Nothobranchius furzeri: one gene and its partners. The protein of the gene in region 2 interacts with the protein of the main gene of each other region in a biochemical or structural test. Links are inferred from orthologs where the notes say so. Each region holds a gene or a part of one and is shown on either strand. Other genes may lie near its edges.

What was found.
Region 1: the proteins of map2k7 (region 2) and mapk8ip2 form a complex in vitro, tested with the Homo sapiens proteins (2 studies listed by BioGRID). The link is inferred for Nothobranchius furzeri from reciprocal best matches to the Homo sapiens genes MAP2K7 and MAPK8IP2.
Region 3: of the proteins of map2k7 (region 2) and lrrk2, one has a biochemical effect on the other in vitro, tested with the Homo sapiens proteins (2 studies listed by BioGRID). The link is inferred for Nothobranchius furzeri from reciprocal best matches to the Homo sapiens genes MAP2K7 and LRRK2.
Region 4: the proteins of map2k7 (region 2) and growth arrest and DNA damage-inducible protein GADD45 beta form a complex in vitro, tested with the Homo sapiens proteins (2 studies listed by BioGRID and IntAct). The link is inferred for Nothobranchius furzeri from reciprocal best matches to the Homo sapiens genes MAP2K7 and GADD45B.

Annotation. Positions count from the first base shown.
Region 1 is NC_091744.1:72,543,402-72,547,436, forward strand, and holds the start of mapk8ip2 (C-Jun-amino-terminal kinase-interacting protein 2), read right to left. Parts: upstream 2,829-4,035; 5' UTR 2,344-2,828; coding exon 2,279-2,343; intron 1-2,278. UniProt on the Homo sapiens protein: The JNK-interacting protein (JIP) group of scaffold proteins selectively mediates JNK signaling by aggregating specific components of the MAPK cascade to form a functional JNK signaling module.
Region 2 is NC_091747.1:73,509,487-73,513,712, forward strand, and holds the start of map2k7 (dual specificity mitogen-activated protein kinase kinase 7), read left to right. Parts: upstream 1-1,405; 5' UTR 1,406-1,477; coding exon 1,478-1,601; intron 1,602-4,226. UniProt on the Homo sapiens protein: Dual specificity protein kinase which acts as an essential component of the MAP kinase signal transduction pathway. Essential component of the stress-activated protein kinase/c-Jun N-terminal kinase (SAP/JNK) signaling pathway.
Region 3 is NC_091744.1:48,425,631-48,429,196, forward strand, and holds part of lrrk2 (leucine-rich repeat serine/threonine-protein kinase 2), read left to right. Parts: intron 1-1,993; coding exon 1,994-2,079; intron 2,080-2,388; coding exon 2,389-2,498; intron 2,499-3,566. UniProt on the Homo sapiens protein: Serine/threonine-protein kinase which phosphorylates a broad range of proteins involved in multiple processes such as neuronal plasticity, innate immunity, autophagy, and vesicle trafficking.
Region 4 is NC_091748.1:78,786,128-78,789,585, forward strand, and holds growth arrest and DNA damage-inducible protein GADD45 beta, read left to right. Parts: upstream 1-1,488; 5' UTR 1,489-1,674; coding exon 1,675-1,718; intron 1,719-1,871; coding exon 1,872-1,973; intron 1,974-2,052; coding exon 2,053-2,281; intron 2,282-2,389; coding exon 2,390-2,503; 3' UTR 2,504-2,921; downstream 2,922-3,458.

The DNA of each region.
Region 1 (4,035 bases), on a different chromosome or scaffold from region 2:
ATCCATGGGAGTGAAGTAATTCCACATGAAGACACAGCTTGGATAGAAAATGCACCAGAAGTTGTTTACTACTGTTGCTGCCTCTGTAGGACATGTGGAAGCAGGATGTTATGCTGCGTTTATTCTGATGCTTTAGGCTGAACCTGGTTAGGACGTGATGACGCTCACAACGCTGCATGTGCAGACGAGTCGGGGTTCACCTGATTATCAACGTCAGACTTTTGTTTCTGCAAATGATGGTGTTGTGACAATGCTTTTGCTGAAATTTTCCTTTTTGCTCACACATTTAAGATCAGCAACCAAATTTACAACCGAACTCAAACCTTGGACTAAAAGATTCTCACATCACTGGGGAGGAATTTTAACTAATTCGTCTTGTTGGACTTGTTTTAATTTAATAGTTTTGACAAAAGTGAGATGGGCATTTGTCTTCTTTTTTGGTCAGCAGAGGTCCTTGAACTCTTACGTGGAGGCAATTTTTGCTCCTGCAAGCTTGAATCATAGATTGTTCTGGATTTGTTAGATGTGTTGCTTTTGAGATTGTTCAGCTCTTCATTCTACATGTCTGACAGTAATAAGGCCTAGCTTTGGCTGACTGGTGGAACCAAGCTCATGCTTCCAATTAATCTGATTATTCCCAGTTAAGTCATAATTTAACAAGAGGAGCAATGACTTTTTCACTGGGTCAGGTTAATTTGGGGCTTTTTTTCTTTTATAAAATGAATAATTTTAAACTACATACTGTATTTACTCGAGTTGCCTTTGTCTAATTAAAGTGTTGGGTGACAAAAAAAGCAAAAACAAGAAATCTGTAAGAAGCCAAACACTTTAAATCATGCATGTCATTACCGTGTGCAGCCGTGTTATTCTACTTTTGATTTTACATTTTATAGACTCAACAATATAAAGTTTCTATATCAGGAGGCTATAATGATGTATTATTATTATTAATAACATAATTCGGTCAGCATACTTCCATCTACGTTCCATAAACCGTCTTCGTCCCTCACTGACCCCTCACACTGCCGCCATTCTCGTCCACAGCCTAGTCACCTCCCGTATCGACTATTGCAATTCACTCCTTTATGGTCTTCCCAACAAACTCCTTCATAAACTGCAACTCGTCCAGAATTCAGCAGCCCGTATTATCACCAGAATCCCTTCCTTTCACCACATCACGCCGGTTCTCCAGCAGCTTCACTGGCTCCCAGTTAAATTCAGGTCCATCTTCAAAATTCTCCTCCATACCTTCAAAGCAATCCACAACCTCTCTCCTCCATATATCTCAGACCTTATAAGTATTCACACCCCGTCCCGTTCACTCAGATCTTCTTCTTCCATCCATCTTGCGGTTCCTTCTGCCCGTCTCACTACTATGGGGAGCAGAGCTTTCAGCCGCTCTGCTCCTCGACTCTGGAACTCACTTCCCCCAGACATCAGGAACGTCGACAGTTTTACCCTTTTCAAAACAAAACTCAAAACACACATGTTTAAATCTGCCTACAACCTCTGATTTTATTGAAATGTTTCTCTCTGTTTTTTTCTTCTTTGGGTTTTATTATTGTTTTATTGTATTTTATTGCGTGTTTTGTGTAAAGTGACCTTGGGTGTCCTGAAAGGCGCTTTTAAATAAAATGTATTATTATTATTATTATTATTATTATTATTATTATTATTATTATTATTATTATTATTATTATTATTATGCTGCAAAGCTAATTGATTTTGTTAAGTCATCAGGATAAACAGCTGAAAGCAGCAAAAACAAACCAACAACTACCTCTGCAGCAGCAGAAATCTGCTCTGTTGTGTTCAGAAGGCATGAAAACGTGATCAAACTTGACGACATAAAAGATCCTTTACAACAGCATCAGTGAGACTTGCATGCATCATTGTTCAGCACCATGCCCTTGCTTTGGGTTGGACTCAACAGGGCGTGGGCCTCTCTCAGAGAATGCGCAAACGCTGGCTGTCTGCAAAATTACATCTTGATCATTTTGATAATTCGTATCTTTATTTCATTCATAATTTTCACAAAATGCTTTTTATTTGTTAAAAAATAATTCTTACAGGCGCCCATCATCACCATCAGGCCTAAAATATTCATCAATAACTACCTACAGGCTGGATTAGGCATGTTTTTGGGGGTGTTTATTTATTTTTTGGCAATAATCCGGTTAAATATGAGTAACAATGTCGCCCCTTTGCCTTATTTTCACCCATCGCCTCCTCCGCCATCACCATTTCTCTCCTCCTGCCCTCTATCATAAGCTCTTACCTGCATCCGGGTGGGGAGAGGGAGTGAAAAGTGGATAGAGAAAACATCTCAGCCCTGTCCGCCATCTTCTACTACGAATGACTCAGAGAGACTGCAGAAAATCACGGAAGGAAGCGCAGTCCATGAACAATCACAGGCCAGAGGACGGACGCGGTCCTGGACTGCGGTGTGGTCGCGCGCTCTGCGTCCCCGCGGATGATGCCCGCCTGGCCGGAAGCCTTGGATCAGACGAGCCTGCTCAACACCATCAAATCTGACTGCAGTGAACCCATCCGGGAGGGAAATGTGCTTCAGAGGCAGCGAGAGACGTTCGCGGAGATCCCCGTGTTCCCTGATCGATGCATCTAGCGCTAAGTCCTCGCGTTTTTTATTTTCTTCGACCGCAGTCCGTGATTTGCTCGGCAAACGTCTGCTGCCGTGATGCTGCTTGTGACACAACAGCAACGGGCCAGCAGTGCAGAGACAGGCAGCGGAGCGAGGAGGAGAAAGGAGGGGGTGAGAGAGAGGAGGAGGAGGAGCGGGAGACGTCAGCCTCGTTTCCAAGAGGAGGCTGAAGGGGCGCACATACGTTATAAATTATGCTCGGATACAAAAAGTAAATAAACAGAAAACACAAACACTACGTTTGATCTTCAGGTGGTTTTAATCATCAATGATAATTATTATTATTTAAAACTAATAATATAATTTATGTAAAAGACAAGAATTGAACCACTTTAAAACATGGCTCTCCTCAAAATATCAATAAATTGTTTGTTATTATTAATCTGGAACACTTTATCAATAATTGCTTATTAAAGGACAAGAAAAAGAGACAACTGACCAGCTTTGTGTGAGCCAAATCTGTTCTCTCTTCTTCACCCTTAATTGATGCAGAATAATAATTATTTATTATTTATTACAGTAAAATAGATTGATTAATAACATATCTATAAGCATGTGTAAGGGAGCCGTATGAACAGTCTTACCTTAAGCATGGTCATGATATTATATCACCAAATCTCAATCAATGTCACTGTCATTACGCTTTATTTAGTTTGTTTAAACTTGTTTAACTACTTTAACTAACTGGAGGAACACCATTTAAAATATGATGTATAAAACAAACAGAATGGTAAAAAGGGAATTCTGCTGTAAAAATATAAATTCTTTATTAGACTATAGATCTTCCATAACATGGGTCCATTCACTTAAAAAGTTTAAAAAACATGTGATTACTTTAGCGTATAAATAACTTGGAATAAAACACTTGACTCTGAATAGATAATATAGACAAATCATACTTTTTTAACCAACAGTGATCAAAGGCTACAGTGACATTTATCCTAAAAAATTTTTTAGTGAGGACCGATGGTGAGGACGTGTCGGAGATCATTGCTCAGGGAGCTGTTCACGGCCGGTGGTGCTGAAATCTGAGCTGCTGTAAAGGTTTCTGCCACACGGGGGCAGTAACTGCTCAGTTAACATAACTAATCTTTTCATTTGTATTTAATGGATGATTTTTCATGCTCAGAAATAGCACTTTTTTTAACTAAATGACATAATCTTATAGTTTATTTTTGGTGTTTTGTTTCTGCATTTTTTATATGTGTGTTCATTTGCCATTGTTGTGGCTGCTGTGCACTCACTCTAGCAGGAAAAACCAAAAACAAATGTTCGTCATTTTTCTTTGTGTCCACTTAATTACTAGCCCCCATGAGCTTTTGTGTGAAGTATGCAACCAGCTCCTGGTCCAAAGTTTGTTTACATCGCGACCA
Region 2 (4,226 bases):
TTCAGTGGTTTATTAATTTCCTCACCCAAGCTTCTGCTTCCCTGTAAACTCCTCCAAAGATGTGCTTTCTACGCCTGAATAGGACGGGAGATTGGATGCATTGAGGAGCTGAGGGACCAAGCTCTTTTCTTCAGTTAATAAATGATCCAACAAGAATACCAACAATCTAAATGTGTTAAACAACAACCTGCTGTACACATGGACATGTAAAGAAAGGAACTTCACAATAAAAGCTCATTGCAAGAATTTAAACACTTTTATTTGAAGTCATGAGCTCCAAAGATAATTAAGAGAATGTCCATGCCTAGGTCGATTTCATTCATAGAGGAAGGTAGCGGAGGTTACTGCTGCAGCTGCTGCTAGCGTGCAGGCTCCACCATCAAAGACAGCCCGCCTGCAGTACACCTGCAGCAGATGTGGTCAGCCCAAGCGGCTGGACACTGGCCACACATTGCAGGCGTGTCCTACTGGGCATCTGTTGGCGGAAAGTCTGTAGAGGAGTGGAGGGAGGAGATGAAGAATAACATTAGAGGGAGATTGGATGTGTTGAGGAGCTGAGGGAGCAAGACAGAAAAACTGTCTTCACTTTTTTGGATTTTTCTTTTTAAAGACTTTTTGAGACTTTTTCTTTTATTATATATATATATATATATATATATATATATATATATATATATATATATATATATATATATATATATATAAACGAAAACACTTTAAATCTTTGAATGTTTTTATGATCCTGGACACAGATACATTTATTACATGTGTTTTATAACATCACAAATATATTTCAACACAGATGCATTTTTTCATATATATTCTATAATTTTACGTGTCTATTATCACAAATATATTTCACAGCTCAGTGGTTCTTCATCACAATTATAATTAAATTTAAAGTGGTAATAGTGAAAAATTATTTACATAATAATTAGTTTTATCAGATTTCGCATACATTAATACTTTTATATTCGCACTGAGCGGGAATCGAACCTACGCACTTCGACTCCCGGACAAAACAGTTAAAAAAAAACGAGAAGATCCGTTGTTTGTCAAAGCTTTTTTTTTTTGTTTGTTTGTTTTTGGCTCCTGGTTTTTTATTTAGTTTTTTGTTTAAAAGCAATCGGTTTTGCTTCACCATCTTATTAATGTAAACCTTTGTTAAATTTAGTACGTTTCCTTACTCGTGTTGTACATGCTATATCTTTCAATAAAGTAAAAATAAATAAATAAATAAATAAATAAATAAATAAATAAATAAATAAACCTGCAGCGAGGTTTCCTCTGAAATAGAGAGCCCTTTCAGCCAATCAGACGCGAGAAAGGGAGAAAGGTGGGACCTTCCTGGACATACTACGGTTCCAAATGACGCGCGTGGGAGGAGGCTGTGGTTGCGAGTCTGCGCCTGCGCCTGCCTGCCACTGAGAGGCGTCGCGAGCTCTGCTGGAAACTATACGGTGCTCAATTTTTCAAGATGTCGTCGTTGGAACAGAGGCTGTCGCGAATCGAAGAGAGACTAAAGCAGGAAAATGAAGAAGCTCGCCGGAGAATCGACCTTAACATCGACATGAGCCCGCAGCGATCACGTCCAAGGCCAAGTGAGTGTCCATCGGGGCGGACCGGTGTGTTGGTAACGGCTAGAATAGCAGGAAAGGTCTGAGAAGGGGTGGGCTACCAGATGCATGCTAACTGGCTAGCTACGTAAACAAACATCGGCTGACCTCGGTTATACTACCAAAAATCCAACTTAATAAGTGGAACAGCTCATGTGGGGAGAAATGTTGAGCAGAGTTCAAACCCGGATGCAATGTTATACTAGTTGTCGGTGACTATGTCATTTCGAAATATGTTCATTTCAGTCCTGTCAAACATGCTAAGCTAACAAGCTGTACGTTTTGTGATAGTTTGTAGCAGGCCTGGCGTCCGTTAGAAAAATGACTGTTTTATTCATTTTTGATATAAATTTACGGTCGTTTCAATAATGTAATTTTAAAGGAATGTTTGTTCTAAATGTGAGTGGTGTGTTTGGATGTGACTTTTGGGCATAATAAGTCAGGTCACTTATGCTATTTTTAATGTCTCGCGCTTAAGGGTAATTTAAACTGGTTACTTTTATCCTTAACCAACACTGGTTGTGGTTGGAGCGGATGTTAAAGCAACAATCAAACAGAAATTCTGAACAGGTTGTCTGTTTTTTAGAAATTTGTGAGTTTGGTCAAACGTTTTAATAGTTATGTTGCTCTTTTTGAGGTTGTCTTGTAATTAACCTGTTATGATTAAATGTTAGGTCTTTCTCGTAGCTTTACTGCATCTGTTTGGTTAAGATTTGTTAGTGTAAATGTGTCAGAAAGGCATACGAACTTGACTTGACAGGAGATGCTGTAATTATGGGCCATAGAGGGAAAATCTCTACAGAAATGCTACGCTTGCTACAGCTTCGTGACATGTAACAACGAGACCCTCATTGCTGTAGTAAATAACAAAAAGCTCCATATTGACTGCTGTAAGTTTGCTATTGAGTGATAGCTTAAAAATCTTTCATTATTACTGAATAGCATTGTTTTGAGCCATTATACCTACCTTTTCTAATAGTTTTCTTTTGTTGAGAGAACAGTGGTCGTTTGATCCAGCTAACAAGTGCTGATGAAGGTCATTTGACTGTCACAGATGCTTCAAAAATTTACAGATGAGAAATGCATCAGGTCCAAATAACTCAGATTTGTTGGAGCCATGATACTGCTCACAATTATGCAGAATAATCATTTAAATGAGATAAAGATTGACCTTTGTTTAATCATAATATTTCCATAAGACACAACAGAGTTCATTATTTTGCCCAAGGACACTTTGTCTTGTGGAGAAACTGTAATTATACTACCAGCTCTCAGATTGGAAGTTGACCGCTCTACCAGCCGAGCCGCAGCTGTCTCAGACAGGGCAGTAACATGTTTCACATCCTGAGACCTCTGACTTTAAAAAAATCTCCTCTTGGTTTACCAGCTGGTGTTGAGCAAATAAGCTTGTAACTGAATATTTGGTGTGGAGAACTAAAAGGTCAGACATCAAATGCAACTTGACTTCATCGAGCTCTAAAAGTGAGAATATTTAAATCTTTTTTTTAATCTTTTTTATACTTTGTTTGGTTTTTTATTTATTGTTTTGTTTGTTTGTGAAGCGCCTCACGATTTTTATCTCAAGATGCTGTTTTTAAAAGAATGTTTTTTCTTTCTAACATTTTTATAGCAAAGAGATCAAAATGGATGTAATAGGGAGCCTAATGGGCCATTCCCATCTGTACCGGGTAGTCCCAGTCGGCCCCAGCCTGGCCCGGTTGATTCCACACATCCTTGCCTTAAGCCCATGTGGGCTGATTCTACCCACCAATCAGAGGCTTGCTCTAATGGAAGGTGTGAATTTGCTGTCAGCAGTGGGTGTGTTGGCCCTGGTCGGCCTGAATCAGACCCCTCGAGAAGAGGGCTGAGAATGAGCCTTGGTTTGCCCGGGAAAATACCAGGCCACCCAGATATGTAAACAACCTACGCTGCCTGGGCCGACCCGGTACAGATGGGAATGGCCCATAAGTCTCCTCCTTGTCCGGTTAGCTCATGGGTCCCTTGAAGAATGAAAAAATGAATGCAAATGAACAGAGGTAAAAGAACTATTTTCTAATCCGCTTTGCCTTACGCCCTGGATCACACACATGTTGCACTTCAATTTAAATGAACACTATAGGTGTTTCAACCAGCTTGTAAAAGTTTGTGATTATTATGATTACAAAAAATATGTTGGCACGTCACATAGATGACATCATCACAGGATCTCCTCTGCCCCAGCATAGCCGTTACTTACCCCATGGTCAGATTTCTGGTGAATTTCTTTCCTCCTGAAAGAAAGATTTGAAGTTCACTGAACTATAGGGCTGTCACAAACAACTCTTTTATAGTCGACTGATCGTGTCATGCATTAAAGTTTAGGTTTTTGCACCAGGATGCTCTTAATATACCCATTGTTAGCTTCTAGTTTGAAGTGTGATCAGCTGTGTGGCATCTAATGATAAAGACAAGATGATAACTTATCAAACAACTTTTAATTAACTTTGTAACCTATTAATACAAATGCTATAGTCAAATGGAGGTAGGCACCTAAAACCAAAAATAAATTGTACTCAAAAATGACTTGTGTTCACAAAAGGCATGGTGACAAGGGTGAAGCGCTTCGTCTTC
Region 3 (3,566 bases), on a different chromosome or scaffold from region 2:
TATTCACGTGTTCTTACATGTTCTTACGTGTTCTATTCACGTGTTCTTACGTTTTCTTACATGTTCTTACGTGTTCTATTCACGTGTTCTTACATGTTCTATTCACTTGTTCTATTCATGTGTTCTTATGTGTTCTATTCACATATTCTTATGTGTTCTATTCACATGTTCTATTCACGTGTTCTTACGTGTTCTATTCACGTGTTCTTACATGTTCTTACGTGTTCTATTCACGTGTTCTTACGTGTTCTATTCACGTGTTCTATTCATGTGTTCTTACATGTTCTTACGTGTTCTATTCACGTGTTCTATGCACGTGTTCTTACATTTTCTTACATGTTCTTACGTGTTCTATTCACGTGTTCTTACATGTTCTATTCACTTGTTCTATTCATGTGTTCTTACGTGTTCTATTCACGTGTTCTTACGTGTTCTATTCATCTATTCACGTGTTCTTACGTGTTCTATTCACGTGTTCTATTCATGTGTTCTTATGTGTTCTATTCACGTGTTCTATTCACGTGTTCTTATGTGTTCTATTCACGTGTTCTTACGTGTTCTATTCACGTGTTCTATTCACGTGTTCTATTCCCGTGTTCTATTCACGTGTTCTTACGTGTTCTATTCACATGTTCTTACGTGTTCTATTCACGTGTTCTATTCCCGTGTTCTATTCAGGTGTTCTTACGTGTTCTATTCACGTGTTCTTACGTGTTCTACTCACGTGTTCTATTCACGTGTTCTTACGTGTTCTATTCACGTGTTCTTACGTGTTCTATTCACGTGTTCTTACGTGTTCTATTCACGTGTTCTTACGTGTTCTATTCACATGTTCTATTCACGTGTTCTTATGTGTTCTATTCACGTGTCCTATTCCCATGTTCTATTCACGTGTTCTTACGTGTTCTATTCACGTGTTCTTACATGTTCTTACGTGTTCTATTCATGTGTTCTTACGTGTTCTATTCACATGTTCTATTCACGTGTTCTTACATGTTCTTACGTGTTCTATTCACGTGTTCTATTCACGTGTTCTTACGTTTTCTTACATGTTCTTACATGTTCTATTCACGTGTTCTTACATGGTCTATTCACTTGTTCTATTCATGTGTTCTTACGTGTTCTATTCACGTGTTCTTACGTGTTCTATTTATCTATTCACTTGTTCTTACGTGTTCTATTCACGTTTTCTATTCATGTGTTCTTATGTGTTCTATTCACGTGTTCTTACGTGTTCTATTCACGTGTTCTTACGTGTTCTATTCACGTGTTCTATTCCCGTGTTCTATTCACGTGTTCTTACGTGTTCTATTTACGTGTTCTTACGTGTTCTATTCACGTGTTCTATTCACGTGTTCTATTCACGTGTTCTTACGTGTTCTATTCACGTGTTCTATTCCCGTGTTCTATTCACGTGTTCTTACGTGTTCTATTCACATGTTCTTACGTGTTCTACTCACGTGTTCTATTCACGTGTTCTTACGTGTTCTATTCACGTGTTCTTATGTGTTCTATTCACGTGTTCTTACGTGTTCCATTCACCTGTTCTTACGTGTTCTATTCACATGTTATATTCACGTGTTCTTATGTGTTCTATTCACATGTTCTTACATGTTCTATTCACGTGTTCTTACGTTTTCTATTCACATGTTATATTCACGTGTTCTTATGTGTTCTATTCACGTGTTCTATTCCCGTGTTCTATTCACGTGTACTTACGTGTTCCATTCACGTGTTCTTACATGTTCTATTCACGTGTTCTTACGTGTTCTATTCACGTGTTCTATTCACGTGTTCTATTCCCGTGTTCTATTTACGTGTTCTTACGTGTTCTATTCACGTGTTCTTACATGTTCTATTCACGTGTTCTTTTCATGAGTTCTATTCACGTGTTCTTAGGTGTTCTATTCACGTGTGTTTTCATGGCCATTTAAAACAAAAATAGGTGCTCCGGTTTATCACATGTTGTCTCTTTTGCTGATCTTTGTTGCAGCAGCTGAGCTGTTTGAGGACAAGAACGTTCACCTTCCCCTCGTGACGGTGCTGTCATCTTACATCAGCAGCAAAGGAGTCCAGCAGGTAATCTGCCCCCCCCCCCCCTTACAGGAGGAGGTTGTTCGTGCTTAATGTGGTTAAAAAGTAACCGCCAGTGGCCCGTCCACCCGATCCACCGTGTTTATGACGTCTTGTGACTGTAATGCGTTCTGGCTTATGAGAAGTTTACAGCATGTTAAAACTGAAAGCCACATTATGGGATGGAATATGTGTTCAGACAGGAATGACTGCTCTCAACATGCCTCTAGAATGTGTTTCATCTGATTCTGCTCTCATTACGTGTCAGTTTGATTGTTATTGTTCAAATCAAACGTGAGGTTTTTGTTTGGACAGGAGGGCTGGTTGCTGCTGTGTAAGCTGATTGAAATATGTCCCAGAACGCTGGAGCATCTCAGCCAACCTCTGGAGGCAGCCGTGGACTGGGAGATCCTGGCAGTGCACCAGTAAGTGAAGACTGGTTGGTCTGGTGGTGTCACCTGCATGTTCACAAGTCAGAGACTCTGGTAACATGGAGGTCCTCCTGGTCCCACCACAGACTGACCTGGACTCTGTTATCCAGTTCAGACCAGCTTAGTTCACCCCTGATTTAATAAACAACAGCAGCAGATTGAACCCAACTTCCCTCCAACCCAACCCAACATCTTGAGCAAGCACGTGGCGAAAGTTCAAGACTGGACCTTCAGCGCAACCAGAACCAGGATGAGTGGCCTTTTGCCTCCATGTTTTAGAATCTGCCTCTGAGAGGGGATCCAATTTTAGAAACATTAGCTGAAAATCTTAAAGGGGACATTTAATTATGTTTTTTTATGAAGTTATAATAATTTGAGGTGGCTCGGGCATCTGGTCAGGAGGCCTCCTTGACTTTGGTGAGGTTTTCTGGGCACGTCTAACCGGGAGGAGACCTAAAGGTAGACCCAGGACACGCTGGAGGGACTGTGTCTCATGGCTGGCCAGGGATTCCCCAGGAGGAGCTGGCCCAAGTGGCTGGGGAGAGGGAAGTCTGGGCCTCCCTTCTTAGGCTACTGGCCCCCGTGACCCGACCCCAGATAAGTGGCCGAAAACGGATGGTTGATACAAAACATGTTTATGACAGTCTTGCACTAAATCCCTGTCACATCGAGCAACACCAGCAGTTTTATTCTTGACAGTTTCAGTACCTTCCAGAATGATCCGTTTCAGGGCTCTGTCACTTTAAGAAAACGAGCTGGAGCTAGCCATACCCACCTCCCCACTCAGGCTGCTATGAGCTGAGAAGCTCCTATATCAGGGATAGGTTTATCCCTTTAATAGTGGCTCCTCATGTGTCTGCTATGTCACAATCTGTCCTGTCTCCAGTCTCTGTTCAGTCCTGAGTCTTTACTAATTGCTCCCACCTGCCTTTCGTCTCCCAGTTCTTCCTGTATCTGATCCCTCCCAGTTCTATGTTCTTCGTCTGTTCACTGTTTCAGTGTCTCGCTTGCTCCTCATTAAAGCCTTTTCTGAATGTTCCTGCCTGCCTTTTTCCCCTGCAC
Region 4 (3,458 bases), on a different chromosome or scaffold from region 2:
AACTAAATCTAAATGTAGTCATTAAACTGTTGCTATACAGTTTTAATAGTGTGCAGATTCATCACGTGACTTCTTGTTTTGCCTCATGAACTCTGAGTTTTCTGCATCATGATGACTCATTAAGTATTAACCTATAACCACATGGAGACAGCAGAATCATGCATTTCCCGGGCATCTTTTAAATATTTTGTATTTAAAATACAATTTATTTTATTTCAGGCTTTTTATTTAAATAATTATTTTTAAAATTTATTTCTCTAGGAAAAAACATGTCAACATCTTGCTGATAAGGAATGGAGCCCTCTGCGCATCATCCTCTCACAAACTAACCCACCACTAACCCTAACTACAGCACGGCCGATGGACCTGAGCGTAAAACAGCCTTCTGGTTGTTTTGTCTTGATAAATCCATCAGTTTCTCACAGATCGTAAAGCTACGTTTATATGATCTTCGTGTCTAAATCCTGCTCATGTTTTCTGTCTGAAACTGTTCATCAGTGAAAACTTGACTCGTTCTCTGTTTTTTTATTTTTATTATTAAAAATTCCCTCTGGTTTCTTTTAGGATTCATAGGAATCATCAGACTTTTGTTTTCAGTTTCATTTCTTCCTCTTCCTCCCTGATCACGAGCATCCAGAAACTGGATGCAACAGAACCCCCGGGACCCCCCCGGGACCCCCCCAACGGGGCCGGTGTTCGGAACACCGAATGGAGACGTGTTCTGGTTTCACTGCTGCAGGGGCGCCGCTAGGGGCGCCCTTGGGCTTTGCAGGAAGCCAGAATGTGAGGCATGAATCTGCAGCGCAGAAGTGATTCCATCCATCTTCTTTAACCGCCGCATGGTCGCGCGGGTTGGTGTGCAGAAGTAAATAATTCAGAGCTTTTTATGCACAAAATAGTTGTATTTATATTTTAGAGTGTCTGCTCTGTGTGCTGCAGCTGCCTGATCATAGTAGCACAGGTGTTGTGTCTTGACCTGGAATATCATAAAGCAGGACCTCCAGCTGCACGACCAGCGATGGGTCATCTGATCTTCTCGTGCTGGAGAATCTCGCTGTTGCACAACCTGCAGCGCGTTGTACAATGGTGGGGGTGGAGGGTGCGTGCTGCTGCGACACAAGGCTGGTCACCTGCTCCCGCTTCTTATCCGGGTTCTGCATAAAGTCGTGCCTGCATGGATTCAGATTGAGGAGGAGTCGTGAAAAGGGACTTTTTTTTTGGGGGGGGGGTCTGGAGTAGCAAGGAGGATGAGGAGGAAGATCTGGAAATTCCTCCTCAAGACAGAAAAACCCTCCCAGTAAACAAACTGACAGAGAGAGGGGAGGGGAGAAGTGCGGGGGATTCTCCGAAACCACCCACGTGGGATCGCCGGTTTCTGCTGCGTGCTCGGCCAATCAGCGAGTGTCTTTTGATAGCAGAGGGCCAATCAGTGCTCGAGCAGTTGCTCGCGTTGACGGGAGGCTATAAAAGCGGAGAGTTTCATCTTTTAGAAGCAGAACGCTTCTCTCTCACACACGGAAACCAGCAGCAGGACCTGTCCCTATTACCGGACCTTGGTACCGATCTGGATTAACGCTTGCTTGGCACTTCATCTCTGGAGCTTACCGGAACAGCTGAGCGCTGTGGATATTTGCCTTTATCCTGGATCTTGTGGATTATTTAACTGACTTCGACATGACTCTGGAGGAAGTTGTTGGGTCTAGCAGCACCGAGAAAAAGTAAGTATTTGCTTTCAGATGATGCGTAATTACGCACAAGCTCACATTTTAGTGCAAATGATGCAAGATTATCAGAGTGTTTAGAGCTCGCGCCGGTTCTGTTGCGTTCTGTGCCGGTTTCGGTCCCGTCTAACCGCCTCTGTGTCTCTGCAGGATGGAGCCGGTGAGTCAGGCTCTGGAGGAGCTGCTGGTGGCGGCGCAGCGGCAGGACTGCCTCACCGTGGGAGTCTACGAGTCCGCCAAACTCATGAATGTGTAAGTAGGAGCTGTGACCGACTGGTGCCTGTACGCGCGCCGGTGCTGGTTCTGACCCGGTTCTGTTCTCCTCCTACAGAGATCCGGACAGCGTGGTCCTTTGCCTCCTAGCCACAGATGAGGAGGATGAAGATGACATCGCGCTGCAGATCCACTTCACGCTGCTTCAGGCTTTCTGCTGCGACAACGACATCAACATCCTGCGGGTGTCCGGGATCCGGCGGCTAGCCCAGCTGCTGGGCGACGACACCGAGGACGGGAACGGCAACGGGGGCGAGCCCCGGGACCTGCACTGCATCCTGGTCACTGTAAGTTCTGAGCTCGCGCTGCTGCATCAATGGACCTGACTTAGATCAGAACCAGGAGATGAATCTGTGTTGCATGAAACTAAAGCAAATGTCCGCCTTGTTCTGCAGAATCCCCCGGTCCACCCGCTGCAGTGCCAGGCCCTGCAGGACGTCAGCAGCTTCTGCAAGGAGAGCCGCTGTAAGAACCAGTGGGTCCCCTGCCTGGAGCTGCAGGACCGCTAACTGGCGCCGAACCGAGCAGAACCGCCGAGGAGCGGTGGATGGAGCTGAATTAACGCAAACGACCAGTCCTCGTGAGAAGAGGCGTAACGGCGTTTGAGAGGCGCGGGACCGAGCCGTGGATGCATAAACCGACCCATCCGGTCAGGAGCGCGTGAGGTGTCGTTGCTGGTTCCGAGAGCCGAACCGAACTGGACCGTGCTGGATGGCGGAGTTACAGAGATGGAGGCGTTTTGATGCGATGAGTGATAGCGAGGAGCTGCACGTGACGTTCCGGACTGGGCTGCAAGTGATGCAGGTGTTCCGCTCACCTGTTCGGACACAACTGGACACTTTGTTTTACAGTGACGTCATGTCTGATTATTTACCTGATGGAAGAATGAATCAGCGTGTTGATGTAAATAAACAGTTGAAAGATAAATGACTTCCCGAGTGTTTCGTGCGTGTGTGTGTGTGCGTGCGTGCGTGTGTGTGTGTGCGTGCGTGCGTGTGTGTGTGCGTGCGTGCGTGTGTGTGTGCGTGCGTGTGTGTGCGTGCGTGTGTGTGCGTGCGTGTGTGTGTGCGTGCGTGCGTGTGTGTGCGTGCGTGCGTGTGTGTGTGCGTGCGTGCGTGTGTGTGCGTGCGTGCGTGCGTGTGTGTGTGCGTGCGTGCGTGCGTGTGTGTGTGTGCGTGCGTGCGTGTGTGTGTGAACTAAGTTCGGTTCTGAAAGGGTGCTGGGATACTGTCAGACTTACAGCCAGCAGCCTCAGGCACAGGAAGTGCTTATGCAAGAGTTTATCCCGGTGCATCATGGGAAGTGTAGTCATCTGCAGAATGAGCCGGAAGAGTTCCTCAGAGTTCAGATTAAAGGACCTGGAGTCATTTCTTCTTCAAAACAAAACTGATGAGAAGCAAACAGAGTCAGAAATAATGAATCCTTTACTTAAACTGATTATCGCATCAACATCTGGGATCAAAA